2 linked regions of the Diceros bicornis minor genome follow. The main gene of each other region encodes a partner of the protein of the gene in region 2 in a complex. Links are inferred from orthologs where the notes say so. Each region holds a gene or a part of one and is shown on either strand. Other genes may lie near its edges.

Region 1 (15,390 bases), on a different chromosome or scaffold from region 2:
CTCAGGAACTCCAAAGTCAATTCCTCTTCCCCCTGGTGCTGGCAACGGTTTGACCCTTAAGTCAAACCTTCTACTACCAATAGCTCTCCTCTGACCACCTGAAGTTACCCATCTAACCTCAGGGTCTGACCAATCATGGTGAATTATTTATTCTTTTTTTTTTTTTCGTGAGGAAGATCAGCCCTGAGCTAACATCCACGCCAATCATCCTCTTTCTGCTGAGGAAGACTGGCCCTGGGCTAACATCCGTGCGCATCTTCCTCCACTTTATGTGGGACGCCGCCACAGCATGGCCTGACAAGCTGTGCGTCCGTGCGTCGGTGCGCGCCTGGGATCCGAACCTGCGCTGCCAGCAGCGGAGCGCACGCACTTAACCGCTACGCCATGGAGCTGGCCCCTGAATTATTTATTCTCTTGATTTCCTGACATACACACAGACAGACACACTAGACACACACACAGACAAATACACACACACACAGCCCGGTGGGCCAGGGACACTGTTCCAGAGGTAAGGACCGTGTTCAATTCAGGTGGCATGCCTTTGCTTCAGCAGTGGTTGTATTAGCACGGTTCCAGCCTCGGGCTCCTCTCCCTGCCTTGGCAGCCGTCCAGAAAGCCAGCCCAGTGAGGAAGGGTTAAGTGCCTGGGGCCCGGCCCAGACAGCGGCTGCAGAGCAGGGCAGCCTCCAGCCCGTGGCACGGAGGGCTCCTCCAGCACGAGCCTGCCAGCCGCCGCCTTTGTTGATGGACTCTGCCACATGCTCGACTGACACGCGATGCTCCGCCCTGGCGGGGCTGGTGCCAGGCTGCCGGCCAAGCACCCGGCCGCGCGCCCGGCCGATGGTCTGGAGAGACTCTCTGAGGTACACTCTCCCGAGTCCCAGGCCCCAGTTCCCAGACACAGACAATGAGGAGCAGCCTCCCCAGCTGCAAAGTGTCGGGTTACAACCGGTTCCACCACTTTCCCCCAGTCAGGCCCATCCCAGCCTTGGTTACCCGTTTCCCACTGCACCTCAGCCAGGCACCCCAACTGTCCAATTACACTGCAGCACCCTGAAAATCTTCCCCTGAGGTCTGTGTGGGACAATCTCCCAACCCAGGCCTCAAGAAGAGACAGTTTGTCAAGCAAGGCTGCAGAAAGCCACCCCACTCCCTGGGAGGGACTGCAGCATCCCGACACCCTGCTCTTACGGAGCCTGAGCTGAGCGGGCAGATAACCAACTTGAAGCTCAGCGATCAGGGCAAGAGTGCTCATCCAGTCGGGCTCATCCAGTCCACAGGAATCACAACAGCATCAGTCCCAAACTCTAGGACCTAATCCTCCAGGTGGAGACTGAGGCTGAGGCAGGCCCAGGCCTCCCAGCCCCAGCAGACTCACCACCCCCGAAGGCCCCATGCCTACTTGCTGCATATGAAGCCGATGGAACTGGTCTGCAATGCACTGAAGCTTTCGGGCAATCTGTACCTCTGCTCGATGTTGCCACTGCCCTTCAGGGGGCTGCTCACCAAGGGGCAAGCCTGCAGGGAAACTGGCAGGGAGAGGGAGCCGGTAGCCAGCATTGCCTGCAAAGACAGAGGGCCCACATCTCAGCATTCTCCACGAGTGCCCCATCCTCCCCATGCCTGCAACTCCTGGCCAAGACCTGGGCTGAGGGTAAACGTTAGTATGATAAAGGAGAGGAACTTAGCCTGCCTTTATCAGGGCACTCTGCCAAATCTGGACAGTCTGACTTGCCTGCTGCCCAAGCATATAAAAGTTGATGCTGGGAGAACAGAAGTGAATGGTCCCAGCCTTCCCTTCAGTTCTCCAGTCACTGGCAGAACCACGGCAAAGGTAATATGTACAGGCGAACGTGCCAACCTTCTGTCCTTATCTACCAAGCTACATTGACCACAATTTATTATTCATGTAGTAGGGTTGAAGCTCCTCTTTGGAAAAGCACTGGAGGCAGCTCTCCAGAGTTCCTGGGTTGAGCAAAGCAAGGCACAGAGAAAGAGAAAACCAAAAAGGGTCTTCACTTTTTAGAGCAGCAGAAGAAGGCTGGTCTCAGGTCCTGAAGCTCTAGACAGTGGCACAAAAATTAGGGAGAGAAAACTCCTCAGACCCACAGAATAGCCAAGTTCCTCTCTGGAGGCAGCCCCGGGCTCCTCACTTACCCAGAGCTGGCAATCCAGCTGCCGCTAGGGGCGCCCACTGCCTGCTCCCTCCTGTCCCTCTTCACTGCCTGCCTGCCTCATCCACCAGAACTGCTTTGCCAGAATCGCCCTATGGAGTCGCTCCCTCTAAGAATAACCGCAGCATCTCCTCAATCTGCTCCGTCAGACACAGCAAGATAGCCTCCGAACCTTCCCCTCCCTCCAGCAGCTATTGTGCTAAAAGAAGAAAAGAGACTGAGTGTCTAACCCTGCCCTTTTGCCAGAGGAGGGCATACTGCTCATAAAACAAACCATTTAAGCCCACAAATGAAGGGGTCTTGTCTGACTGAGCCTTGGAAACAGCCCCTCTGCTGGCGTTGAGCCCAGGCAGGCCAAACCTCTTTCTCCAGTTCCCCTTCCAAGCACAGAAAGTCCCAAGTGACAATTGGGGGCCACCTTCTGCCTTCAGGAACCTTCCCTCCCAGAATAGGCTGGGTTTTTCCCTCCAGTGTCAACAGCGAGTCATAGATCCCCTAACCTTCTTCAGGGCAACGTTAGCCACTTTATGGAAGGCACATCACTACCAGGACACAAAAGGCTGGGCCACTCAATGGGCCACAGGTGTAAAAGCCAAGGCCCAGGTACCCTCCCTCCAACCTAAGGAGACACCAGGGAGACCCAAGGATCCCTCCAGGAAGGGACAAAGGGGCAGAAACAATGGCAGGGCAACTGGCTCTTCTTGGGGCCCAAGGAGCACAGGTGAGGGGCAATAACAAGCAGAGAGGCAGAAGGGTGAGAGTTAAGGACTCAATACCCCTGCTTGCTCAATTTAGGGAAGGAAATAGCAAGGGGCAGGTTTGGGGAGGGAAAGTCCCCTCTTTTCCCCCAGTCTCTATGGGAGGAGTCCTGAGGCAAAGAGCACTCACCATAAAAGAGTCGCTGGGGTTCCTCAGTCACCCCACAAGGCAGCATGACACCCTGGCTCGGGGAGGCGGGACTGAGGGTCTGGGTGGCCTTGTCTTCCTGGCTGGTGGGTCGAAGCCCGGGGCCACAGCAGTGGGTGAGAGGGAAGATCTGCAGACGGCTGAGGGGGCAGTCCAGCTGGCTCTGGGCAAACAGGTCAGCAGAGAGCAAGCTCCTGGGCTGGGTCCCCGGCTCCCCATCCTCTGGCTGGAACACATCATCCTCCAGCTCCTCTACACACTGAGGCGGCTCCATGTCCCCTGTCAGGGCACAATGCAGGCATCGGGCATGCTGCCTCCACTCACACCAGACCTGGAAGGAATCCCCTCCTTTTCCTTCTTTCCTGCTCTCCTTTCTTATCTTGGGAAGTGGGGCCAGGTACTGATGACAGACAAGCACTGCCAAGAGTGACACCCGCCCCCAGATGTGGACTGCCTCACTGTTCAGGGACTCTCCATACCTCTTCCCTGCGCCCACCCAGAGCCAACCCTCCCCTCAGCCTCTTCTTCTGTCCCAGACCAGTCCCAGTCATGAAGTTTGGCTGCTATTGACTGAGCAACAGCAGGGGCAGGATCAGCTGCTACAGATACGAAGGGTAGCTGGGGAAATGTGGACAAGACAAGCCTCTGTGAGTGACTGTGGGAGGGCAGAAGGGTGCTGTGACTGGCTGTACACACAGTGCTCACAACACACACACACACACACACACACACTGCCCTGAGCAGTAACCACCAAGCTCTCATCTCGGTCTGAGCTGAGCTCCAGGCTCAGCAGCAAAAACAAAAGCCAGCAATCCTAGAGCAGCCAGGTTCCCTCCAAACCTGCTAAGCCCCGCCCAGCTGCTCATCTACTCTCGTCTCCACCTCCTGCTTGCTCAAGACAACAAACAGGCTGGAGGTGTGGTAAGAGTGTGTCCTTGGAGAGACAGGGGAAAAAGACCTAAGTTCGTCATTGCAGCCACCCTCTCAGCAGAGTAGAGCTGTCTGCCCACCACAGCCTGGACTCAAGGGCAGGTCCAGCAAAGTAGTCAGCCTCCCCCAGCTCAGTCTACTCACGAGTCTCCAGACTTCAAATCTTTCCCCACAGCCTACCATTCCTGCCAGCGCCCAACCTGAGATTGGTACAACCTGACTCACAGAAGGAAGTGAAATTCAGCCCTCTCTCTGTGACCTCACTCCCAGCATAGACTATTAGGTTGTTGATACGAGTTTCTTGGTGATAAAGAAGTTCCTCTTGCTCCACCTGATGGTCTTGGAAGTCTGAGCTTGGAACTACCCAGCAACTTGAGCTCCCAACCCAGCCCCCTACACACACACCAGGAACCCCTTAGGGCCCCTGGGGCAGCCAGAAGCAGCAACGAGTGGTTAAGGATATAGAGAGGCAATGTTTTGTCACTGCCAGATTCAATTAGAGATGCCCTGGGAATTCTGTCTCCCAGTCTCTTGCCTTTGAAGAACAAGCCAAATGGTCTGTGGGTTGGTAAAGTACTTAAACCAATCTCCGTTAAATTCAGAAATCCTGCCTTTCCCAAATGCCATTTCTCTACTTGCTTCAACCCTCCCTCCATCCCATCCAGTCCCTGAGCTATCGATGGTCCTATCTCTGCCCTCTTCCCTGGAGAGTGAGGAGATGCCCACTTGGATGGCAAAACAGGCACACGGTGTTCTTTGGATAGTGTTTCCCAAAGGTGGGTGGGAGAACTCCAGTTTATCAGCACCAGGAAACAAAGTTTCCCACTGAAAGGACCAAGTGCTGTCCTGCCAGTCAACTGGCAGGGGCTCCCCTCCTGCCCTTCAACCTCCTCTCTGTAAGCTGGCAATCCCAACCTAAGAAGGGGCCCTCCAAAGCCAATCACAAGCAGGAGTCATTGTCTTGGTTTTTCCTTTGAAGCCCGTCACCTCCCCCTCCCCCTCCCAGCAAAGCCCCAAAGTTCAACCCTTGTTTGGCTGGACGGTGGGGGAGGTGCAGCCAGAGGGTGTGGCTCTGCAAGCCCAGGGGACCCTTCCCACTCTCCACAGGAACTGCAGGTGGCTCTTCTGTAGGTGGGTGCCTCCGGAGGGGTGCTGGGCAAGGTCAAGTGTAAGCTGGGATACAGTCAAGAGACCCTCTCCCCCTCCTTCCCCTGAGCTGAAAAGCTGATATCAAAACTGGTGGGAGAAGGGCACTTCCTAAGAACACTGCCAGGGAAGGCTTTATTCCTAGCAAGGGGAACTAAAGCCCGCTGGAGCCTTCCCAGCCCCTGAGGGCTCTAACAGGGATGCTGAACTTCGACTCCTCCTCCCAGGAGAAGGCAGTAGCCAGACACTCTGAACCTTGGCAGCGACTAAAATCTGGGAACGCACACATACACACGCACTCACACAACACACAGCAGACCTGGGTGACTCCAGGAGAGAGTCTCGGCCTCCGAGTCGTGATGCCAGGGCTCCGCGCCAGGGTCCAGCGTGACGAGCACTTGGGGGCTTGGCGCCCAGACTCAATTGGGAAGGAGGGAAAAAGCCCAGCTGTTAAGGAGAGGCGCCTTCAGACTCTGCAGGGAGGCAGCACAGCCCACAACTCCCTGCCCTACCCCAAAGGCAGACCCAGAGGCCGGGCCGTTCTTGGGCGCCCAGGTCTGCTCAACAGTGCACCGCAGGTTACCCTGCCCACCTGGACCCAACGCCTCGGAGTCTCAAATGCTAGAACCCCCAAGTTCCCTCGTGGAACAACGCACCCAGATGTGGGTTCTGCACCCCATTCCCGCACCCCAGCGCCCCAGTCCTTCATGGTCACCCCAGAAGCCCGCAGCCCAACCCTTCCCGGGCCCCCAGACGCAGCGCGACTCTTCTCCCCACTTCCCCGAGGAGGTGCGATCCAACTCCGCCCGGCCCTCTGCCGCCCGGGCGCTCACCCGGCTGCGGCAGAAGGCGGGAGGCGCGGACCGGGGCGCCGGCGGCAGCGGGCGGGCCGGCGCGGGAGGAGGCCACTCTGTACCGCGCGGTATTGTTTCCAAAATACGCCCGCTCGGGGCATCCCGCAAACAGCTGATGAGGCCCCGCCTCCGGCGCGTCACGCCGACGGCTGGCCAATGGCAAGTGGAGCCCCAAGTCCCGGGCTGGGCGGCTGCCAGGGACGGTCACGAATGTACGAACCTTCCTTTGGAAACATTGCAAGGGGCCGAGCAAAATTCCTACCCCCTCCAGAAACGCAATTGGAGCGCCGTCGCCCGCGCAGATTCCTAACGCAGGCTCGGCAAGCGCTGGAGAGTCCCTGAGTCCTCTCTATTAGGATGGAGAGAGGGGGCGCCAAAGAGACTTTTGTCTTGTCTTTCTCGGGAATAGACTGAATAATTACGCGCGTCCAGAAAGGGAGGGGAAGAGGAGGCGGCGAGCCTTTTAGACGAGGCTGGCGGCATCCAGTGGATGCAAGGTGCGTGTCCCTGTGGATTCCGACCTGGTGGCAAAACACCCTCCCGCCTGCCGAGCGGGTCAGAAGAGAACTCCAGCCCCAAAGCTGTAGGAAGCGTGAGAACACGTGTATCTGGCGCTGTTAGTGAGTGACATTCAGATCAAACACGTCCAAAGGGACCCTCATATCCTCTTCTTGACTGGGCTTGGACGCTCAGAAAAGAAGCGTCTAGCTGAGGAGAGGCGAGATCAAGAATGCAGGGGCTACTTGGGCGGTTGACACGCATCCTGTTTATGGCAGCATCCAGAGATGGTGCTGGTGCTGCCAGGAGAGCAACGTGTCCTGCCGATTGCGTACTATCAAGGGCTGTTTCACAAACATTTATTGAACGCCCACATTGTGTCAGGTACTGGGCTAGGTGCCAGAAACCTGGTGCCTGCACTCAGGGAGCTGACAGTCTGCTTGGAGAGGTAGACTGAAATTGATGGAAAGCAGCACAAAATGTGTTAATTCCAGGGATAATAACTGCTGGGAGACGCAGAAAAATTCAGAATGCAAACACTGGGAGATGGCTTTTGAGTTGGGACTTGAAGGATGGGGAAATTTTTCAAGAAGGAAAACCAGATAAAACAGTCCAGGCCTGGGGGTAGAAGATTAAACTGTTAAACTGGAAAACCTGTCCTGGTAGCAGGGGCAGGCTGGGGGACGGGATCATCAGGTGCACACCAGGATTCAGGGAGGGTGGGCATGGACAGGTAGGGTCAGGTCAGAAACAGAGGTGTCTCTGGGATGCCAGGCTGGGCAATCTGTACTTTATTCTGGAGGCAAAGAGGAACAAAGATTTTATAGAAGAGGAGTGACTTGACCAAGCCTGAATTTTAGGAAAGATAAATAAAAATGCCAGAAATCAGTGAGAGGGAGCCAGTGCCTGCAACAGACTAGGTGAGCGTTGATGGGCCCTGACTCCCGAGCAGATGTGGGGACTGGCAGTGCTCTGACCACCAAGCTGCTGTCTCTGGGTCATAAACTCAGATTTAAGCTAAGGGAGCTGGGACCCTTAGCCCAGAGGAGCCTGAAGTCTCCTTGAACCTTTTCCCTACCCATTCTTTCCATAGCTCTTGCAAAAGGTGCCTGAAGGAGAGTGAACCAGGCATATTGAGGACTGTGGTTGCTCAAATAAGAAAATACTGTCCCCAAAGGATGGAGAAGAGGGAAAAGGGAAAGAAGGGAGAGTCAAGGGTCGCCAGCAGCCGAGTCCCCCCAGGAGTCGATGGATGTCTAGAAAGAGCTGCCAAAGCCAAAAGGAAGTATATTATTTTACCGGGAGGCTTGGCCAAGAGGGAGTGTCAGAGCTGGTTGGGGTGACCTTGCACTCATGCCATACATGGGGAGATAAGGAGACTAAGCCCAGCCTCTGTGTAGGGCACAGAGGAGCCTTCACCATGTTCACCACGCACAGACCTCCTTCCCCTCCTTCCTTCCATCCTTCTCTTCTTCTTTTCTTTTTTTTTGTGAGGAAGATCAGCCCTGAGCTAACATCCATGCCAATCCTCCTCTTTTTGCTAGCAGCAGAGCACACGCACTTAACTGCTATGCCACAGGGCCGGCCCCATCCGTCTCTTCTTATTGGCTTTCCTCCTCTGCCGGTGTCTCAGGCTGGCCCGTGGGGCCTATGAGCATCATTAGGATCAAGAGTAGAACTGATGGGCAAAGCAGCTCTGAATCTGTCCTGTGGGGCAGCACAGGCCCCAGGGGACAGGGGTCATCCTAATTCTGCTGACCCACCGGAGCTGCTAAAGCCCTGTCTGCTTCATCACAGCCCTGCAGGGTGGAATTGGGTCCACAAGGCAAGGAAGGTGGTAGAGCAAGATTTTTACCTGGGATCCACGTATTCACCAGACTCACCAGGGTCTCCTCAGCTTTAGGGTCTGTGAACCCCTGAAACTGGCTAAATTTTTTGTGGGTTCACACAAACATTTGTTTGGCGGGGGGTAGCTCCATAGCTTGCAACAGTTTTCCCTATAAAGGGTTAAAAGTCATCAGTTAGAGGAATGGGGCGGGGGAGCAGAGGGGATCATCTTAGTGGGTCTGGCCAGTTTGCAAGATGGGGGAAGGGTCACACCCTCTAGTGACGTTTCTTCTAAGACCTCTCTCCCAGGCCTTCCCAGCCTGCTCCCTCAGGCTGGTTCTGAAGGACACCGGTGGCTTGGCCTCCTGCGCTCTCAGCCTCTAAGGTCAAGCAGCAGGGCCCAGCCTTCTGAGCTGGAGGGACCAGAAGAGACTGTCAGGGATAAAGGGGTCAGGGAGGTCAGGAGCCTCACTCTCCACCTCTCATCGCTGTCAAAGCAGACTCCTCCCTCTGGGCCCTTTCTCTCCTTCTGGCACAGGGCAGACTCAGCAGTGTCAGGACCCCCTGGGCTGGAGATTGGGGTTTGGAGCCTCCGACCAACAGCAGCACCCTACGAACAGATGAACCCTGGGCTTTTGACTGGGCTCGGAGCACATTGCAGCCGCAGCAACCTTTATTTTGGAGAATCTCTTCTTTCTTTCTCTTCCCACCCCTTGCCCCAATTTGTTTTCTCCTCTGCTGGCTGGTGCTGGCTCTAGAAGGAGGCAAAACTTTGCCCAGAGAAAGGAAAGTTGCTCTGAAAGGCATGAGTGTGGGAGCCTGAAAGAGGCCTGCAGACCTTGCCCTGCAATCTGGGAGGGATGCAAAGAGTTAAGGGGAGGCTGCTTTCAACAGAAGAGAAAACCCAAGCTCCCTCTAGAAAGCAGGAGCCCTCTCCATTGTTTCACCTGGCTATAGGATTTCTCCCTGAGACAAGGAACGGGCTCTGAAACTCCGGTAACTGGATCACTGGGAAGGGAGGTTTTTAAAAAACCAGCTGACAGCTGAATAATAGGAATTACCAGGCAGGCTGCCCCGGGGTTACTGAGGTTTGTAACTCAACCCCCAGGGAGGGGTTAGATTGGAAACTGATTTATGGGTAAGGTGGGGGTCTTGGTAGGGGAGCCCCTTGCCTCTTAAATCCCTCCAGGAGGGATTGTGTACATAAGAAAGACCAGGAACCTGGAAGGCTTGGTATCCTTCCCTCACTGGACTTGCTCTAACAGAGTGAATTTATCTCTCCATGCATTATTCCATCTGTCTGCAAAGGAATAGTCCCTGTCTTCTGTGTTACAGAATGTGTGTGTGTGTGTGTGTGTGTGTGTGAGAGAGAGAGAGAGAGAGACACACACACACAGAGAGAGAGACACAGAGAGAGGGGGGAGAGAGAGAAAATATACCAGAACAGACAGATGGGCTTCTGCTAATTGGGTAAGCAAGTGGAGAGACTTGATTTCCCAGTCGATGAATTCACTACTTGCCAATCACTGGTTCAGTGGGACTCAGAAAAAGCAGGTACTGAAGAGAAAACATTTGGGAATTCAGAGACCTGCGTGCATAGGGAAATGCAGAGACTGAGGCTACCATGGTAAAGCCCAGTGCAACCTGAAAGATAAGGTGTGGTCCAGGATCCCACGAATTATGACATTCAGCACATATTCGGTTTTGTTTGGGGGAACACTCAATAAATATTTGCTGAATGACTGAATAAGTGTACATTTCCACATTTTAAAAATATGAATAGTTCTGGTTGGCGAGTGGGAAAAAAGCTGCAGGGGAGGATTTTCCAGAAACGTCCTGTCTACGTTGTGTTTGCTGCTAGGGATAGCTGGCCTTGCCTGAGTTTCTTCTCACCAGCAGGGCCTCCCCCTCAAAGGCAAAGGTGATGTGTCAACCCTTTGGTACCCTCAGACCACCCCTCTTCTTCAGGCTTGGCACATGATGGAACTCTCTAAGTTTGTGGACATAGATTTACAGAAAAACTACAAGCATGGTCCTTAGGGCAGTGTCCTCAGCATCTCTCTCCCCCACCTCCTGCCCAACCCAGAGCTCAGCATGCCCAGCCCTTGGAAGAGAAGTTGGCTGTATTCTGCCAAGGAATGAAGAAATCCAATCAAAATACTCTTCCTTTTACTCCACTTTCCCCAGGATGCGGCCTCTTTCCTGGGCAAAGGTACATTAGTACATCAATACATACTTCTCTTTGGCATTAGTAAGGAAATCTCAGAAATTTCCAGGTGAGGCCGGAGAATGATCAATTGCTATCAAGGAAAACTGCCACCTGGAAGAACTGGGGACTGGTCCCTTCTGGGCATAGAGTCTCCCAGGTTTTGAATCTGTGCTCCTCTGAGAAGGTGAGTTGGATCAGCTGTTTTCCAGCCACATCCTTAACCCCCACTGTCCTGGAGTGGGAGGGGGTCACTCTCTGGCAATGAGGGAGGGGCTCAGTCACCCAGGTGTGAGGTCATCCTGAGCACCTGCCGTGTGCTAGGCTCCATACCAAGGGCTGGAGGTGCAGATACAATCCCTGGGGGGATCCTTGAGCATATCCACACCCTTTCTTCCCAAACATGAACCTTCATATGCACACCTATACCCAAGCTCAAAGAGAAACTGGGGACGGGAGGAGGGTGTGGCGGGAAGAGCTGCAACTAGAGAACTGAGGGTAAACAGCCTTCCCAGAGAGGCTGAGCCTCCCCGGAAGCGGTCTTGCTGTTCCTCGAACAGAGGCATCCTGGAAATGTCTGATGCCCCGCTTCTTTCCTGTTCCCAAAGCCCACCTGTCATCAGATCAAGTAGAAAGGGCTCTAGGCTAGATATCAGGAGACCTGGGTTTAGTTCCCAGCTCCGCCATCAACAGGTGATCTTCCAACCCTCACATTTATGTCCTTGCCCCTACAGATTCAGATGTGGCATAACTTGAGTAAACAGGCTGGCAGGCAGGAGTTAGGACTCTGGGGCAACATCAGCCTCTTGTCCCCATCCGGCCTGAGGTCCCTGGGCTCTAATCAAAACAACTCCCACCTACTGAGCACCTACTGAATGCCAGACACGTGACAAAAGGCATCTCATTTAATCCTAAACAACCCCAAGAGGGAGCTATCGCCATCAGTGCCATTTTACACTCAAGGAAACTAAGGTCACTTCCCCAAAGACAGGCAAAACAGCAACAGAAAGATGATTGGAGGCCACGTCTTTCTGGCTTGAAAGCCAGTGCTCACATGCCTTACATCTACTGCCTTAAAGGCACACCCAGTTTCTCCTCACAGGCAGAATTCACTCCCCTTCCCCCATCAATAACACACTGTCCTCTGTGCCCTCAGAACAGGAAGGCCAGGCCTGAGGCAGCCTAGCGAGGTAAATTCCAGCCTCTCTCAGTTGCAAACACTCCCACCGTCACCACCACCTGCGGCAGAAGTGATTGCATCACCCGCAGGAAGCGGTCCAGTGGCCCAGCATCAGCTCTGGGGCACATTTTCAGTTCCTACTTCTATCCTTGCCTACGTTGAGCACACTGCCTTATCTTCTAGCCCTGCCCTGGCCCTGTGGGTTTAGGCTAACACGCATGACTGAACAAGGGACTGTGGTCTGTCGCTTGGATGGGATTTGTACAGGACCAACAGGGGCCCCTCATCCCTTTTCTGAACGCTGCCAGGTGAGGGAGGGGAGGTCAGGCTGAAGGGGCTTTCCCAGCCAAGGACCAATCAAAGATCCCATGGGCTCAGAGAAAAAGTCTTCTTGGATGCAGGAGACAAGTCCCAGGCAGCCACCATTACCCTGCATCCACCTTTCAACGAAGAGTGCCTGCATGTCCAGGCCATGCCCAGCTGTCAGGTGGGCCAGCGAGAGGAAGGTGCTGAAGAGCCTGCCAACACAGCCAGGATGTGTCTGGTGTGGTGTCTGGAGCCCACTAGAGTGGCAGACACTGCCCTGGGCTTTCTTTCCCTCCCTACATGGCTATGGAATCTTCTGGAACTGAGCATAGATCTTCGCCCCTGTAGTTCCTCTACTGTCTGTCCATCCTGGACTTCCTTTCCCTCTCTGCCAACTTCCTTCTCCCGCTGCCCCATGCAGCATTCTTTCTTTATCTCCTTAATCTCTCAAACCCTGCTCTCCTCCTGCATTTGCCACCTGTCTCTGGCCTCACTTTGGGCCACAGCAACAACAGTCAGCCCTTTTATTGGCTCATGAAATGCTCGACATTTTAGTGGAAGTCATCCTGTGTGGAGAGGCTGCTTTTGTTAACGTTATCGTCCCCATTTGGAAAAAGTTCACTTGAGTCTGAACCTTTTCTTTGTTTTTTTTTTGGTGAGGAAGATCAGTTCAGAGCTAACATCCATGCCAATCCCCCTCCTTTTGCTGAGGAAGACTGGCCCTGGGCTAACATCCGTGCCCGTCTTCCTCTACTTTATGTGGTACACCGCCACAGCATGGCCTGACAAGTGGTGTGTTGGTGCACGCCCGGGATCCCAACCTGAGCCGCCAGCAGCGGAGCTCGTGCACTTAACCGCTACGGCACGGGGCGGCCTGAGTCTGAATCTTTTAAATGGCTCGTGAATGGAGTTATCAATGTCTCTTCACCCAGAGAAAGAGCTATGCTAAACCAGTGACCATGACGTGGGTCTCCTCCAGCTCTCAGATGCTCTTTGCACCAGTAAACTGACTTACTCTTTGGCAGAGGTTAGGGCACCTGAATCAGTGATTTGAATAAAAATCAAGTTGTTCTTTTAGGACAAGCCCAGCCTTAAATTACCAATACTGGTTTACTTGGTTTAAAAAAATGTCAAACCGCAATGTGAAACTGGGTGAGGATAGGGCCATTTCGGGCTCTTTTCTAAGGCTTCAGGGTCATGAAGCCTGTTCTGGGTGTAATAACCTCTAAGGAATGAGGGGGACCCTAAGGACTCTGAACTCTTCCCCCAGACCAGACCAGGTTATGGATCCTATTCTAGCTTTCATGGACTCCCAAGCATCATCCGAGGCTATGTAAACGTGTGACAAAGAAACTAAACAGCAGCCCCAATCCTGAATTTCACAACTGGAGAAAAATATCAAAAATTCTGAAATGCTTCAGAGTAGAATCATTTTTTCAATCCTGACACCTCTCACAATGAGGGTATAAAATATACAAAACTGACCTCTGGATAGGCCCCTGGTGTAAATTCTTATTGACTTTAGGGAGAAACTACTTCCCCAGCTTACATCAGCTCTAAGACAGGGTCATAGACTATGACCTTCACTGTGCCTTTGGACTAGGCAAGCTCTCAGAAGGGAGGAGAAAAAAAGAATCTTGATATGGCTTTGGGTTTAGAATGTAGTTCCTCGGAAAGCATTCCTGGAGTTTACCAGTTTCCTTGTCTGCAGGAAGGAAGTTTTTGTTTAAATGTTTATTGCTCAAACATGCCCTGTAGGCAGAGAGCTTGTGTATTCCATTTCTTTGGTACTTAAAGTTTGTGTCATTATCTTTGAAATGTGATTTAAAAAAATAATTTACTCTTATGTTTTGGGGACTTTGTTTCATTTGATCTCTTTTGGTTCTTTGTCAGTGGGGTCTCTTCCTATTTCTACACATGCCCAATAGGTGTGACTGAAATCCTCATGACTTCTCTGAAAAGAAACTACTTCCTTTACCTGAAGTAATTATTGAGCACGTACAATGTGCCCCACACTGTATTAGGAGTGGTAGGGAGGCCATGAGACGTAAGACACATCCCCCGCTTGCCTTCCCACTGCCTGCCATTATAGTCTTTATTGAGATATAATTCACCTACTGTAAAAGTCACCCAAGGTGTACAATCTAACAATTTTTAAAATATTTGCAGTTATATAACCATCATCACAATTTTAGAACATTTTCGTCACTCCAAAAAGAAATCTCATACCCATTAGCAGTAATTTTCATTTCCCCCAACCCCTCCCAGCCCAAGTAACCACTAATCTACTTTCTTTTTTTTTTTTCTTTTTGGCTTGAGGAAGATTAGTCCTGAGCTAACATCTGTGCCCATCTTCCTCTATTTTGTATGTGGGTCGCCACCACAGTGTGGCTGATGAGTGATGTAGGTCTGTGCCTAGGATCTGAACCCATGAACCCAGGCCTCCAAAGCGGAGTGCATGGAACTTAACCAGAGAGGCCAGCCCTCTCTACTTTGTCTCTGTAGATTTGCCTCTTTTGGGCATTTCATATAAATGGAATCATATACTATGTTGTCTTTTGTAACTGTCTTCTTTCGCTTAACATAATCTTTTCAAGATTCATCCATGTTGTAGTATGAATCAGTACTTTGTTCCTATTTATGGCTGAATAATACTCCATTATATGGATATATCACATTTTGTTTATCTGTTCATCAGTTGATGGACATTTGGCTTGTTTCCACCTTTTGGCTATTATGAATAGTGCTGCTATGAACATTCATGCACAAGTTTTTGTTTGAATACCTGTTTTCCATTCTTTTGAGTATATATCTAGGAGTGGAATTGCCGGGTCAAATGGGGAGGGAACTTTATGTTCAATCTTTTGAAGAATCATTGTGGGTTTGATTTGCATTTACCTAATGGCTAATGCTGTTAAGTATTTTTTCATGGGCTTATTGGCCATTTGTATATCTTCCTTGGAGAATGGTCTATCCAAATCCTTTGCCCATTTTTAAATTGGGTTAGATGTCTTTTTATTGTAGAGTTGTAAGAATTCTTTACATATTTTGGATCCTAGTCCCTTATCAGATATATGATTTGCAAATATTTTCTCCTATTCTATAAATTGTCTTTTTACTTCTTGTGCTGATGATGTCATTTGAAGCACAAAAGTTTTTAATTTTGATGTAGTTCAATTTGTCTATTCTTTCTTATGTCCCTTATGCTTTTGGTGTCATATCTAAGAAACCATTACTTAACCTAAGGTCACAAAGATTTACTCATATATTTTCTTCTGAGTTTTATAGTTTTAGCTCTCACATTTAGGCCCATGCTCCATTTTTGGCTAATTTTTGTGTATGGTATAAAGAAGGGGTTCAA
Region 2 (15,223 bases):
AAAGTACCACAAACTGGGCGGACTAAAACAACAGAAATATATGGCTCACAGTTCTAGGGGCTGGAAGTCCAAAATCAAGGTGGCAGCAGGGCCATGCTCCCTCTGAAAGCTGTAGGAGAATCCTTCCTTGCTTCTTCCTAGCTTCTGGTGGTTTGCCAGCAATCTTTGGCATTCCTTGGCTTGTAGATGCATCATTCCAATTCTCTGTCTTTACATGGCATTCTCCCTGTGTCTCTGTCTTCACATGGCCATCTTCTTATAAGGTCACCAGTCATACTGGATTAGGGGCCCACTCTATTGAAGTATGACTTCATCTTAACTAATTATATCTACAATGACCCCGTTTCCAAATAAGGTCACATTCTGAGGTACTGGGTGTTAGGACTTCAACATATCATTGCAGGCGGACATAATTCAACCCATAACAGTGGTCTAGAGGCCCATGGTGAACTATGGAAAGGGAAGTTTTTTGTTTTTGTTTTTTTTCCCTTTTTCTCCCCAAAGCCCCAGTAGATAGTTGTATGTCATAGTTGCATATCCTGCTAGTTGCTGTATGTGGGACGCCGCCTCAGCATGGCCCGACAAGTGATGCGTTGGTGCGCGCCCAGGATCCAAACCCCGGCCGCCAGTAGCGGAGTGCGAGCACTTAACCGCTACGCCACGGGGCCGGCTCCTGGAAAGGAAAGTTTTCATTTGAAAATTATCTCTTTTAGCATCCTTTCAAAAGCCTTATATTGCTCTTTGGAGAAACTGAAACTTATTTTCATTTTATTCAAAATGACATTCACAGAATCTTGCTGTATCCACCAAGGTGAAATAAAATAAAGACAGCAATGTGACAAGCAGATGTATTTAATAAAGATACTTTTAAGTACTTATTTAATTGTATTTTATGGTACATTTTCCTGAAGTTTTTTGAAAGAATTAGAGTGAAAAATATTCACTCTTTGTCAAAATGAAACACTGACTTTTACTAACAATACCTATTGTTAGAATGAAAAAAGATAATGTAGGTAAACCATTTAACAGTTTGCAAGTACTCAATAGCTGTTAGCTGCTATTAATATATATTTAGCATTCTTAGGAGCACAGTGATGATTACAGAGGTTAACACACATGAAACACTTGTAACAGTGCCTGACACATAGTATGCACTCAAAAGATGTCTAGCTGCTACTGTCAACATCACCATCACTATATAAGATGATAAAGTGTCTGAAACTGCCAATGCTACTTCCAATTGGTTTATTCTTGCTCACACATGAAGTCAACATTTGCATATAGTTTCATTTGGTGGGGTTTCTTAAAATTTCGTTTAATCTATAGAATTCATCACTTATTTAGCAGGCAATTGTAAGTTATTTAAATTCAATTTCTTTTTTAATAAAGGAACTCCTTGATATTTATACCCACCCAAAGCATTTATTTTATTTACTAGTTACCAGGAAGATGACTTGAAAATAAGCTACTGAAATCATAATCGATGTGTTGTTTGAGGAAAATGTACTTCATTTACAAACATGGCGTTATTAATCCACAGCCAGTTTTTCCAGCAACAGAGCTGATTTGACACTGCCTCAGTCACACAATTTTTGTGATTAAAGCTGCAGATTTCCCAACCATAGAGATTTGGGGTTCAGTTGGTGGTCATGGAATAGAGTTCCATTTCATTCCATAGCTTTTCCCAAAGTCACTTCCCCATTTGAGGTCTGGTTATGGGCTGGTCTTAAATGCAAGTCACTAAAAAAGTCAGGATATTTTTTAAAGTACCTTTTCTAGCTGCAGACTCAAATCTACATTCAAAAGCACAAATATAAACTTAAAAAAAACAACGTTACCACAATAACAGCCATGTTCTAAAACAACAGTTCCATAAAGTTTCGAGTTTTTTTTTTTTCATAGTGATGAGTAGGAACTGGTGGTCCTTGGGTTTTTGCTTCAAAATGGTTTGTGGACTGAAAAAATTTGAGAACCACTGCTCTAACCAACCAAACTAAATTGATAGTTATAAAACAGGAATGTTTACCCTCTGAAGGAATACTTTATACTGCGATTTTTGGTTAATGTTAAAGCAGCCGTTTTTAATATGAGTTTGAAAATGAAGTTTTAATATATTATCTCCCTCTTATGAATTAGTGTTTATAAACAAGAACATTTAGTGGGTCTTTTCTGTTCTAGTAAAATGAAAACTGAAGGAAAACAGTAGCTTATTAAAGCTCCAAGAATGGCTTCTCAGTTCCTTGTCAAGTCTCAAAGCCCCATAATTTTTTTCCCTTCAAACAACTCAAACAAAATGACACCTCTAAGGATTAAACATTTTGGAAACCAATGAAAGAAAACATTAAAGCATGTCTGACACAGACCTCTTCTCCATACTTCCCCGTTCCTCCCATCCTCCCTACATGAGTATGAGTCAGGTAATGTTAACTTTGAATCATACATTTGTTGGTTTCTTTTGAGCATTGCATAAACAAAGTTTTGATCATAGCCTATGAGGCAACTGACCTGTAATCATTTGCATTTCAACATACGTGGCTTGAAAAACAGAACAGTAAGTTACCCTACATGCTCTTTTATTTGAATTCCACAGGAAGTTACTCACAGTATCATTTTTTGTGATACAAGAGTGCCCTAGAGAAATAGATCATACCATAATAAAATGCTCACACAACAAATGGAAAGAAGTAACTTTCAAGAGTGAAGTATTTGAACTACATTATGTATGCAGGAATACTCCTTTCTGAATAAAGCTGATAAAAATAGCTCCACTTATTGAGTGCTTCCTATGTGGCAGGCACTGTGCTTAATGCTTACAGACATTATTTGCATTTAATCATCCCCAAAATCCTACGCACGAGGTGGGTTTTATTATCCTTATTTCCAGATGAGGGAAACAAAGCTTATTCTGCGAATATTTATTGAGCAACTACTATGTGCCAGACCCTGTTCTAGGCCTTCAAGTTGAAGCTTAGAGATGTAGAGGAACCTGGAGTTTGGACACAGGCCTGTCTCTGCTCTTATCATGAGCCCACACTGCCTTGCTGGGAAGAATGTTAAACATTTCAAGTATTTGTATCGTAGAATGGCTTCCCCTTAGTTCCTTATAGATTTTATTAGCATCTTTCATCATGTGCAACTCTAGAATCATTGAACTTTCTATCTGGAGGGAAACCTAGAGAAGATCCTTACATTTTCCAAAATTTGAATTCTCTCAAATAAAATTTTCAAATAGATGTAGAAATTCCTGTTGTCTCTTAAGATGTGTGTCAATCAGGAAAATACTCTTAATAATTTTTATTTAGGAAATTTCAAAGAAAAAAATGGAATTCATACACGTGAAAGATATGTCACCATGCATTTTGTTTAATTATTGTCTTATGTGAGATAAAATTTAAGCCTAAGTTTTATCTCTTTGGAAAGAAATAGTTAAATAGTCTCTAGTGATTACTTTTTCTGTGAAAAATAAATATGCTTCAGATAATGTAAAGGGAAAAAACTTTTTCAGAGAGGTGATGATGATTACGCTTCATTTTCTATGGTGGTGACAAACCTATATGTAACAGAGCTGTGAATTTTGGATGTATGTGAGGTAGATTGTGCCATGAGCCATAGTTAGTCATCTTGTAACTTTTCCAGACTGATGTAACTCCATTTTTTGAACAAATGTTATTTTGTTAAGTAAATGCCCATTTAAACTTGTATACAAAGGTTATAATTATAGCAGGAAATTGTTGGGGACAGAGGAGGTTAAATCTGGTTGTCCTGTCATACATTAGGAATGATTTCTTGGAAATCTAGCCCAGATTTTCGACTGAGGTTTGCTGTCTCCCTTTGCTGTAGTTTCAAGTAATAACTTTCCAATATTTTGGTTCTGACTGAGAGATTTATGGGGGGGGGGGCATAGATTCAGTAGGTAACTGAATCAGCCCTTTGTGCTGATTTTGCACAGAGGAGCCCAAAAAGATAGCGGAATGTGAGGATATCACTGAACATTATAGGTCTTGTAGGAATACAGAAAAGGGTCAGTGTTAAAGGAAAGTTCTAAAGCAGGGCTGTCCTATAGAACTATAATGCCAATCTTGACAAATAAGCCACATATGTAAGTATACATTTTATAGTAGCCACATAAAAAAAGTAAAAAGAAACAGTTGAAATTAATTTTAACGAAATATTTTATTTAACTCAATATTCAAAATATCATTTCAACATGTAGTCAGTATAAAAATTATTAATGAGGGGAAGTGGTGGGGGGAAGGCAAAAGGGATAAAGGGGCACATACATATGGTGATGGATAAAAACTAGACTATTGGTGGTGAATACAATGCAGTCTATACAAAAACTGACATATAATAATGTACACATTAAATTTACACAATGTCATAAGCCAATATGACTGCAAAAAAATAATTTTTAAAAATTATTAATGAGATACTTTACGTTCTTTTTTTTGGTACTGTCTTTGAAATCTGGTGTGAACTTTACACTTATAGCACATCTCAATTGGGACCAGCCAACCTTATTTTAAGTGCTCAAGAGCCACATGTGGCTAGTGGCTACCATATTAGCCTGAATAACTACACTTCGAGTTTTCCTTTCTTAAACAGGAAAAAAAATTAATCCTGCTCAGGCAATATCAGCTTCTACGTTCAAATAACTTTTTTTGCTGCCACCTACAAGAAAAAATTGATTTTTTGATTTTCCCAAATTCTCCAGCCAGAGAGAGTGGTTGCACCACTCTTGGATTTAATAAAAGAAACGAAAAAAGTTTATTGTTAACCAAAAGAAAAAAAACTTGCTTTCTTTTCTTTTTGGGCAAAAGTAAGGAGAATAGCGTTTTTCTAAATCAAGTCACAAATACTTATCAAGTTGATCGTATATTCAAGACAGCTGTGCTAGTGGTTCTTTAGTCTATTATTAACAGTTCGTTTAATGCTTAATTCCGGCAGTGTGACCACTGTTCACATTAGTTTTACAGATCAATTAACTTTGTTTTAAAAGTTATTCCTCTAGTTCTCAAGGTAAAAAGAAATGAATAAAAGTTGATACTGAAATCAACTTTTCAGTATACAAACAATCTGATTTATTTTAAAAAGGTTAGTTCACTGAGTGGAGTAATTAGCGCTGGACAATGTTAAATACATAATAACCGTCTCTTTTCAGCTATGTATGTTTTTCCTAAAGCAAGAATGTTAATTGGAATAATTGATCACTGTTTGGGGGGCTAATTTACCTTAAACTAACCAAATTGACCAACTTCTTTTCGGTATAAGGAATGGAAACGTGGCTTTGCAATGTAAATGAAAGATAAATTAGGCACTTTGTACGTAAATGCAAAAAAACCCACAACTACTTGTCTTCAGACTTCTGCAAGCTGGTTTTACCCTCAGGAATTATAGAAACGGTGCTCGCAAATTAGCTGAGTTTGGGTCCAGATTGGATTCGCAGCACTTGAATCAAGCCTGTTGGGGGAGGTGACAAAATCGCGAGTTAAGTCCTCCCCACCCCCCACCCCACAGACCACGCTGAGCCTGCCCAGATGTTGCTCAACCCTGAGCTGTCCCCCTGAGTCCAAGGCTGCGGGAGAGGGCGCGCAGCGAGGATTTCCGGCCGCCTCCTCAGGTTCCCTAAACAGATGGAGCCTCTTCAGGAGGCCATGAGGCTCCCGGGCCTCGAGCCTGTGCCAAGGGGCGCGCCGGCGAAGGCCGCAGAAAAAGCCCAACACCTGCCTCTTTCCGGCCCAGCGAGAAACCTTGCACCGCCCGCGCAGACCTGGCCGGCTAGGTGTGGGGCTCTAATCGCATCCTCACACCTGCGTTAGGGAGGAAGGCGAGGGCTCTCCAGGTGTCTGCGTCCCGGAAGGACGAAAGGGAGCTGTTAAGAGGCGTGCACCAGGAGCGCAGCGGGGGACGCGCTGTGGTCGCCGGGCGTGGGAGGACCCGGACGCCTGGGCCGAAGCCTGAGGGGATGAAGGCACTGGCCGGCCTGGAGATTTTCCTTTACTTTTTTCCTTTTCCTTGTAGGGCTGTTAGCCACTGGCTGTAGTAGCTTTCCACTCAGACCGGCGACTTTTACACAGTTCTGCCCTGGCGCACTGAGCTCGCCACGACACCTGGCGCTGGGAACACGGGGTAGAACCCCCCCCGGGACCCACTCCAGACGCCCAGGCCTCTCCCCACAAGCTCTCTTCGTCCTCTTGGGCTCCGTCGCCGTCTGGGGATTGGGTTTCCTTAACCCAGGGCTTCCCTATCTTGGGCAGGAGGAGGAGTTAGAACCCCTCCCTCTCTCCCCCTCCTCCACCCATCGCCAACCCGATTTTTAATCTAATCTTTTATTTAAAGTCAACAGAGGAGCAGGAACCCCGGGCTCCTGCCAACAAGATATTTTTAAATAATTCCCCAACCTCTGCTGAGAGAGGCAGCCTTAAGGAACCTCCTTGTTTTCTCTTTCGTCAAGATTTAGGCAGCAGGGAGTGGGGGTGGCTTCGAGGGTCAAGGCTGAAGCCCGAGGGCTCTGCGGACTTGAGGGAGGGGGCGACTCCTGCAAGACGAATGAATTCCAAATATTAAAAATATAATACGAGAGCGTCAATTTGGAGAGTCTTGAATCAAACCGAGAGCCGAACCCCCAGAGGGCTCCAGGGCACGAAGCCTTCCGTGTCCCTGTCGTGGGGCGTGTGGAGAGGGGGCAGGTGAATGCCCAGCTTGTGACCCTGAAGAGGGCGTGTCCTGGGCCATGACGGGATGTGCCTATAGACTCCGCGCGCCTATACGCACTCACGGAGGGCTCAGGCGGAAAAGACACCCACGCCCCCTCTCGGGGTCCTTGGCACCAAACCGCGCCCCCCGCGCCTCGCCCATCTCTTTCCCCAGCTGGGCGGGGACCACTGTTCTCTACATCCTCAAGGAGCTTCCGACCTACTGGGTCCCGTGGCACTTAAAGGCTCCCAGCCTTTCTCCCCTCCTGCCTGTCCCCTCTTTTTTCCCCCGCCTCCCGCCGACGCCCCCAGATCTCTCGGACTCGCCCTTCCTGAAAGTAGGCGAGGCCCAGAAGCTGAGGCTGGGGCGAGGAAGGAAGGAGGAGCGCAGCGCGGCGGCCGGGGGCGTGTCTTCCCAAGCCCCGCCCCCGGGTGCGCGCGGCGGTGGTGGCGGCTGCCGAGCCTCGCTCTGAGAGACAGGTATCGCTTAGGCGCCATGTTGTGAGCGGAAGTGGGGGAGCGCGCGGCGGCCGCAGTTCTGCTGGGAGCGGGCGCGGGAACCGGCGGGGCGGGGGGCGGAGCTGTAGTCCCGGCGGCGGAAGGAGGAGAGGAAGAAAGGGGCGAGACCCGGTGCCCGGCAGCGGCGCGAGGCTCTCGCTCGGCGCGCGGACGTCTCCAGCCGGGCACGCGGCATTCGAGGGTCGGTGTCGGCGCCGAGCCCTCTCCCGGGCAGCCGCCGCTGCTGCCGTGGGGCTCGGGCGGCGACGGAGCGGGGCTGGCCGCGGGGCGGGCGGGGAGGGAGGAGGCGGTGAAGGCGGCGGGCCGGGGGGGAAGATGCCGCTGGCGCAGCTGGCGGACCCGTGGCAGAAGATGGCTGTGGAGAGCCCGTCCGACAGCGCTGAGGTGAGTGCAGCCGGGCGGCCGGGGCTGGCTCGTACCCTCCCTCCCCTCCCCTCGCCCCCGCCGGCTCGCTCCCCACCCGGGAGTCGGACACTCGGCCCCTTCCTCAGCCGCTCGCGTCTCGCCTCGGTCTGGGATTCCGGTTTGGGTAGTTGGGGTTGGTCTCTCTGCCCTTCTGTTCCTCCCACCCGCACCCACACCTCCCCTCCCTCGCTCGGGGGGCTGTGGGGTGGTGGCGCGTGGGGTTTGGAGTGGGCGCTGGGGCTTTGGAAGAAGCCGATTTTAATCAGCTTCGCGTGGGGGGAGCGGGAGGCGGAGCGGGGGCCGGCGAGGAGTTGGGAAGTTTGGCCCTGCCGGGTTGGGGGCTTCCCTGGCCCCGGGTGACTTTGGGCGATGAGGGAGGGGTAGGGATTGGGTTCACCGGGGAGCAGGGACTCTCGAGTCCGGCCGGGGGAGGGGGTTGCTGCGGGGACACGGGCGCGCGGGGGCAGGGACGGCGACCTGTGGGGGTTTCGGGTAGGGAGTGCAGGACAGCCCAGGGGTTTTGCCTCCCCCCATCTGCCGCAGCGGTTTCTGCTGCTGCAAAGGAGAAAGTGGAAGCCTGAGGTCCCCCCCCCCCGCGTTTCTGAGGTCGCTGAGCTCGAGGACCCGGCCCCCGCGAGTTTAACTTGAGTTTCCTGTCCATGGAGGTGAGAGGGTGATATTCAAGGAGACCAGCGGCCGCCGTAAAGGGCTGTCGGGTTTTCCTCGCCCGGGATCTGGTGACCGTCCCTGAGACACCCTCCCGAGTGCTAAAAAACCCAAACAATATACCCAAACAGGGCAAAACAGAATTTCCCCGGACACCCCACGGCACTGAGCTTTTCGCAGTCGCCCCTGTCCCGGAACCAACTCGGGGTCTGCGAAAATAATCCAGACAAGACCCATTCCAGGGCATCAGCGCTCCTCTCCGGAGTGGAAAATCAATTCCTGATGGTGGCGCGTCTGTGATTCTTCCTTCTTGACTTTTTTGCTGTCTTCTATCCCCACAGCGGACTTTGGGGGATTACAGGATGATAGGCTGCGTGTGTGTAATAGTTACTGAGTGAGTGACCCCATTTCTGGAAAGCATGACTGAAACGCGGGGGTGGAATGGGGCAGGCTCTGATGAGTGGTGTACTTGGCGGCCGCCGCTGCCCTGCCGGCCTCCGCAGTGTGAGAGGTGGATAGGGTTACTGGTTACGTCAGTACGACCGAGGCTCAGTTTGATCTGAGATGCGGGACACTTGCATTCTCCAGCATATAATGAAGGGGGAGGGGGATCCGTTCTAATCGCTTTTCAGTGTTTTCCTAGTCACCTCCACTGCTGTATAAAATGTTTACTTGCTCTCCCTAACGCAAGCAGAGTTGTAATAGTGCTTACGATTGGTGCTTAGTATTTTGCGACTTAGATCGTATTTTTAAAACCTAAACGCTGCTCTTGAATAAGAAAGACATTGATATATGTTACCTAAAATTTTTTTAAAGGGAATCATGTTTTTAAGACTGGCAGGATTACGAGAATTTCATTTAAAATTGTGTTAGCCAGTCTAATACTATAAATCTTTTATAAGAAAATCAAATTTAGAATGTTTAATCATCCTTCGAATGGTTAGTGTGAAAAGTAGTATGCCAGGGGGCTCTTTTCATTCATTTTTTTTCCTTCAGAAATTTTTTTTTGCGTTAAATAATATAGCTACAAGGTTGATAAAATATGTTCTCAAAGTGCTGACCTTGTGGAAAGAAATTGAATTTGCTTTGAGCCTGATTTTTAGATGCAAACCTTAACATTTGCAACTCATAATCAGTTCACATTTCTGCTTGGCACGTATCAATGTGAAAAAAAAATCGTTTAAAATTCCACCTTGTCCTTTTCTATGTAGCGTACATTTGGATAAGGAAGGCACAAAACTGGTATTTACTTAGCACTTATTATATGCCAGATACCGTGCTACATCCTATTTCATTTTCTTTCCTTGACCCAACAGAATAGGATTACGGTCCCTATTGTTACAGATTAAGAAACTGAATCTCAGAAGTTAAAGGCCCAAAGATTATAAATAGTAGATGGCAGAGCCATAATTCAAAGCCAGGTGGATATAATTCATGTCCTTTGCTTTATATTAGGGTAGCTGCTTCAGATCCTTTGTGGAAAAATTCAGGGTATAAATAAATAAGCCAGTAGTTAGAGGTCATGTGTTTTTCAGAAACAATTATGGTATTACAAGAGGTCTCATTTGTTAAAGTACTTATTTCGGTTACTGTCATGGTTTCCAGAACTTGGCAGATAGGATTCCGCAATTTGCCATGTTCAAAGAATTTTCTTGATATTCTGGCATGAGGTATGTCAAACAGCCAGTGTTGCCTAGATTTATTAAAACTAGATTTTAACAAATTGCCTTTAGATATTTTGTTGCCTTTGGTTGTTCAGCTGTTTCAAGTAAATTGCTTCTGATAGAAATTTGGAAATATTGAGACCAGTAAGGAAAAGGTTGAGAGTTTTCTTTCAAAAGTCTAATATTGGGCTTAATATTATGCCATCTCCTCCCCAGTAGGTTCTTATCAGAGAATAATTGTATTTTACCAGAGTAAAATCAGTTTTTTAAGATAGTCATTTACTTGAGTAAATACATCAAAAGTTTTCTCTCCAGGCTAGAAGATGTCAAGGTTGGTCTCTATAGGAATGTACATTTATGGTCTCACCCCTAGTAGACTGTGAACTCTTGAAAGCAGAGACTTTTTTTCTCTGTATCCTCAGCACTTAACACAGTGCCTGGCACATACATATTATGGACCCAATGGATGACTGCTGAGTGAATTATGAAGGTCAGGAATAGGGTGATTATCAATCTTATCTCTGTTCCTATCATTTTAACCTTACATTGAAATAGGAACAATCTTAAAAGACCTGAGTACCTCACCAAAAGTACAGACAGTTTCTTCATTCCTTTATATGGCCTTCCTGCTCTAAGATCTCACGTGAGTCGCATGGTGCTCGAAACAGAAAAACCCTTGTGGTGGAATTCAAACATGGGTCAGAACATGATAGGCTAGAACTAGGCCAAAGGTTTCAAGAAGCAAATTTAGGATAATAAAAGAAGTACTATGTAAGCAAAGTCAAGATTGGTACAAGATTAAAAACAAAATAGCTTCGTAAATAGTCCAGGTGAATTCAGAACTCTTTAATGAGTTATTTAAAGATGCTAGTATGTTTCTGAATATTTGACTGTTGAGATGGATATCAAGGAATTGTGGCTATTCTGTTCTACAAATTCCTTGCTACTACTGTCAAGGACAGCATTTACTGGATCATAAGCCTGACCTAAAGTGACACTTTTTTCTCAGTTTCAATAGAGTAAGGATAGTAAACCTAAAATTGAACAATTTCCAAAAGTAATAAAATTAAGGAGGTTATTTTGCTTTATAGAAATGTGTTGTATAAAAATAGCCACCTTGAATTCCTTTAAATAACAAATACTCATAATGCGTTGAAAAATAACTATATAAATATTTTCTTTCTAAAAAATGAGACCCTTGTATTGGAAGCCATCTTCAGTAGATGCATGGCCATCTTTAACCTCAAAGATTATACTGGATTCTATAGTAGTTCTACTATATTAGGTTTCTTATGTTTCATCTATAGGGAAAAACATTCTGTTAAAGTATGATTATTGATTGTGAAAAAAATGTTTTATTAAGTTTTTTTTCCTTTTACTGTTTCATTTTTACCACCTTTCAGGTTTTTTTCTTTCCCCCAAGTGAAGATCTGAGGAGAGGACAGGTATTGTTACATGTCAACTGTCAAGTAACTGTGACACATTACTGAACACTTCGTTGTTTTCAGTGATTATGATATAGAATGCCAGTTTTTGTTAAACAGAAATTTAGGAAAGTTTGCTTTGTTTTGGCAACTTGATGCTGTACTGATGGGGTTGATCCAAAATGTGAAACTTCTTTGGTACATCTAAATTTTAAAATAAAGAGCTAAACTTATCTAATTAAAGAAATAAGTATAGGCAGACTTTGTCTTTTCTTTAGTATGTTTCTGGAAATCACAACGAGTATATCCTATTTTTATATAAGGAGTGTGGCATAATTGGGATGTGCACGCTTGACCAAGGACATGATATTCAGTCAATTATAGAATGATCAAAAATATAGTAGGTCATTTATCAAAAGTCTGAATTGCAGAAGAATTGTGCTGAAGATTTTTTAAAAATTTATCATCCACTAAAAAATTCATACCATTGTGGTCATTGAAAAGATTTGCTCTAGAGTTCTGTGCTCAGGGACATATGATCTGCCAGGCTATGAATGATGGGTGACGTCAGGTGGCCCAATTTGCCCAGTGCAGACTGGATGTTTTAGAGCCAGTGGTTCAGATTACAATGTACAACAGTGACATCTTGGTGATCTCTTGGTAATGCATGAGTGTGATAGTGCTCAGTTGTTTATATGTTTTGGTGGATAACAAGTTTTGAAGCACTGGGATACAATTGTGCAAATATGTATATGACACATCCCATTCCCCAGTTCACATAATAGAAAAAACAAGCAACTGCATTTTAATACTTGGCATTAGATGCCCCCTTTCAGAGTTGATACAGTTCCCTGTGTCATTAATCTGGAACAATTACCAGATCTCAGATAATCCGGTTTATCAATTTAATTCCAAATAGCATGAAAGCAAAGATAAAACAACTATAAATCTTAATTGTTAAGTAAAATGTGTCAAGTTAACAAAACGAGCACAAATATACTATACAGTCATGTGTCGCTTAACAATGGGGATACATTCTGAGAAATGCGTCGTTGTGTGATTTCGTGGTTGTGTGAACATCATAGAGTGTACTTACACAAACCTAAATGCTATAGCCTACTACACACCTAGGCTCTATGGTACTAATTTTATGGGACCAGCGTCGTACATGCAGTTTGTCATTGACCAAAACGTCGTTATGCAGGCATGACTGTATACATTTTATAAAACAGATTCAGGATAAAATGTATCCATATAGAATGTAACTATCATTTAACACATTTGACCTATTTTAAGCAAATACTTTAGTTACTAACAATTAAATATTTCATTTTTACTTATCTCCTTATCATTTAGAAGGCACTTTGTGGGATAACTTGGATGTATGGCAAAGTGTTAAAGAACATAAGCTCTGGAGTTATGAAGACCTGGGTTTGAGTCCTGGCTCTGCCACTTAATAACTTTGTAATCTTATGCAAGTTATTTAATGTCTCTATGCTTCAACATCCTAATCTGTAAAATAGGGATGAAAATAATGTCTACCTCGTGGGGTTGTGGTGAGAGCTAAATGAAATGATAATATATGTAAAGCACTTGGTTCAGCACATGGTTTAAGTATTTACTAAATAATAGTTATAGTGAATCATCTCTCTAACAGAACTGTCTGAGGAAGTTCTGTGTTTTTCCTCTGGGGTAATTTTTTCAGAATCAAGCAGAACAATTAAAAATGATTTGTTTGATCTGTTTAAACAGAACCATTATAATATCTGAATATAATAGGAGTAAGATGAACAGAAATCTCTTGAATCTTGTCCTTTTTTTGTATTGTTCCCCTCTTCAGTATTGCGTTTAAAGGGGGAAAACAGATAAAGAACATTTTGAAGAATATGTGTCGAAGAAGGAAGAAAGGAAAGTACGTTCACATTTCAACATTGCTCAAATTGGAAGGCGTCTCACAATCCGTGGCATGTTGTTGTTTAATTAGCAGTGGGTTTTTTCCTCAGTAATATTTAAGATAATAGTGTATCTTACACATAATGGTGTCTTATAATCGATGAACTATGGTACATCCTGTATGTCAACTTCATGAAAGAAGTGTGTCCCTGAAGAAATGGATAAAGTCAATGTATAGAGTCAATAAGTAGAATTTTAACTTACTTTCTAAAACATACCAAAACAAAATGTGCACAGCTTTTTATATTTTAAGATCAGTTCTGTTAATTTCATTTTTAGGGACGGAACTTAATATGGCACACCTCCTTGCCCAGTATTCTAAACACATTTGTTTTGGTTATTTGAGTATGCCATGAGTAACTGGGTTTTCCTGTTTAGAAATATAATCCTTGGATTTGGTCTGTTATGTGGTATTGGTACTTAAGGAACTTTAAATGGTACCTACAGTATTTTTAACTGAGAAGTCTCTGGGAATGTTAAAGGTGTATCTGTGCCCAAGCAACCATCTCCCCCCTCCAAAAAACACAAAGGAGCATGGCATGATCAAGTAAATTTGGGAATTGTGGAGTTAAACAAGATTTGACCAATTTCTTTACTGCATAACTTCTTAGAACTTTCAAGATGTTGATGTACATGATGAATCTGCAAAAAGGATATAGCCCACAGCAGTTGAGACTTGATGTCAGAACCCGTTTTTCGTGAACCATCTATTAAAGTCTCACAGGACACAAGTGCCTTGCAGAACACAGTTTTGGAAAGTCTGATAAGTACAGTAACATGATCCAGTGTTGCCTGGAAATGAGCTGTTATGTTTGTATCAAAGCTTTTTTCTTTAACTGTCAAGACTTTTTGTTGCATTTTGCATTGAAATCTTTCTAAATTAAATTGTATAGCAATTTTCCATCTTAATAGTGGACTAAAAATTTAAATATAATTTACATAAAAGTTTAAAATAATTTAAACTTTTTATTCAATGTTCTGAAAATTGATGGTCATATTCTACCTTATTATCAAGCTAATTGCCCCTCCTAATTGGCCTCTACATTTACTTCCTCTGTAACTTATGTCTAATATTCATAGTTTTTAAAAACTCTCTTATATCATTTGCTGCTTTATGCTACTGTCAATCTGCCTACCTCTCCCATTCTCCTTTTTAAATTAGTTGCTTCTGACTTGCAGTTACTGGAAAACAGGTAGCTAAGGTTAATGATATTTTGATGCAGCCATTTTTAGCTTGGGATCATTGTTACTTCATCTTAAAAAAGCAATTTACACTTACAGCTTACCAAATAATGTAAAATAGCACCCTCACCCTTTTTCTGATCTCTGCCCATCATATACACATACCTCTGGGGTCAGGGGTATTTGATGGACATATTACCTACTAATAAACAGCGGTTTTTATGCTTCAACATACCATAACAGAATGGCTCAATTACTGACATTACCTACTCTGCATATTTACCTTCCTCTCTTGAAGGTGTCAGCTAGAAAGGAATGTGAATGAACTAAAGAACAGGCAGCTACAAGACCAAAAGCTAGCCTATTGCCCCACCTGGAGTCAGGTCTCCACATTGTCTTTTGGGGGTGTTTTTTGTGTTTTTTTTTTCCGTGAAATAGTGCTACTTTCCTGAATATTAGATACCCTACTTTATGTGTAACTCCAAAAGCGCCTTTATATTTCTGTTATTCTTCTCCTCTATTAGTATAAATTGAATTACAGCAATAGCATAACTTAAATCAGATTTCCCTGTCTTAACTAATATATCCTTGTTTTCTTACATACCTTAAAAACTAATTATTTTTTAGCCACCATGTAAATTCATTTTTATAATCTTACATATAATGATGACCTCATCTTCAAATCTGACCTGGTCATCTAGACTTCTGTGAGTTT

The links.
Region 1: the proteins of RPS6KA3 (region 2) and BMF are in contact, whole or in part, in a crystal structure (PDB 8R58), measured with the Homo sapiens proteins. The link is inferred for Diceros bicornis minor from reciprocal best matches to the Homo sapiens genes RPS6KA3 and BMF. Residues at the interface, in NP_004577.1 of Homo sapiens: Trp252, Phe259, Phe268, Leu281, Ala283, Lys284, Leu285, Gly286, Met287, Pro288, Leu299, Arg300, Phe303, Lys304, Arg305, Asn306, Asn309; in NP_001003940.1 of Homo sapiens: Glu8, Leu10, Glu11, Asp12, Asp13, Val14, Phe15, Gln16, Pro17.

The regions. Positions count from the first base shown.
Region 1 is NC_080744.1:38,019,359-38,034,748, forward strand, and holds the start of BMF (bcl-2-modifying factor), read right to left. Parts: upstream 6,066-15,390; 5' UTR 5,992-6,065; intron 5,985-5,991; exon of another isoform or gene 5,606-5,984; 5' UTR 5,478-5,605; intron 3,362-5,477; 5' UTR 3,357-3,361; coding exon 3,065-3,356; intron 1,566-3,064; coding exon 1,405-1,565; intron 1-1,404. UniProt on the Homo sapiens protein: May play a role in apoptosis. Isoform 1 seems to be the main initiator.
Region 2 is NC_080781.1:16,897,533-16,912,755, reverse strand, and holds the start of RPS6KA3 (ribosomal protein S6 kinase alpha-3), read left to right. Parts: upstream 1-7,282; 5' UTR 7,283-7,529; coding exon 7,530-7,598; intron 7,599-15,223. UniProt on the Homo sapiens protein: Serine/threonine-protein kinase that acts downstream of ERK (MAPK1/ERK2 and MAPK3/ERK1) signaling and mediates mitogenic and stress-induced activation of the transcription factors CREB1, ETV1/ER81 and NR4A1/NUR77, regulates translation through RPS6 and EIF4B phosphorylation, and mediates cellular proliferation, survival, and differentiation by modulating mTOR signaling and repressing pro-apoptotic function of BAD and DAPK1.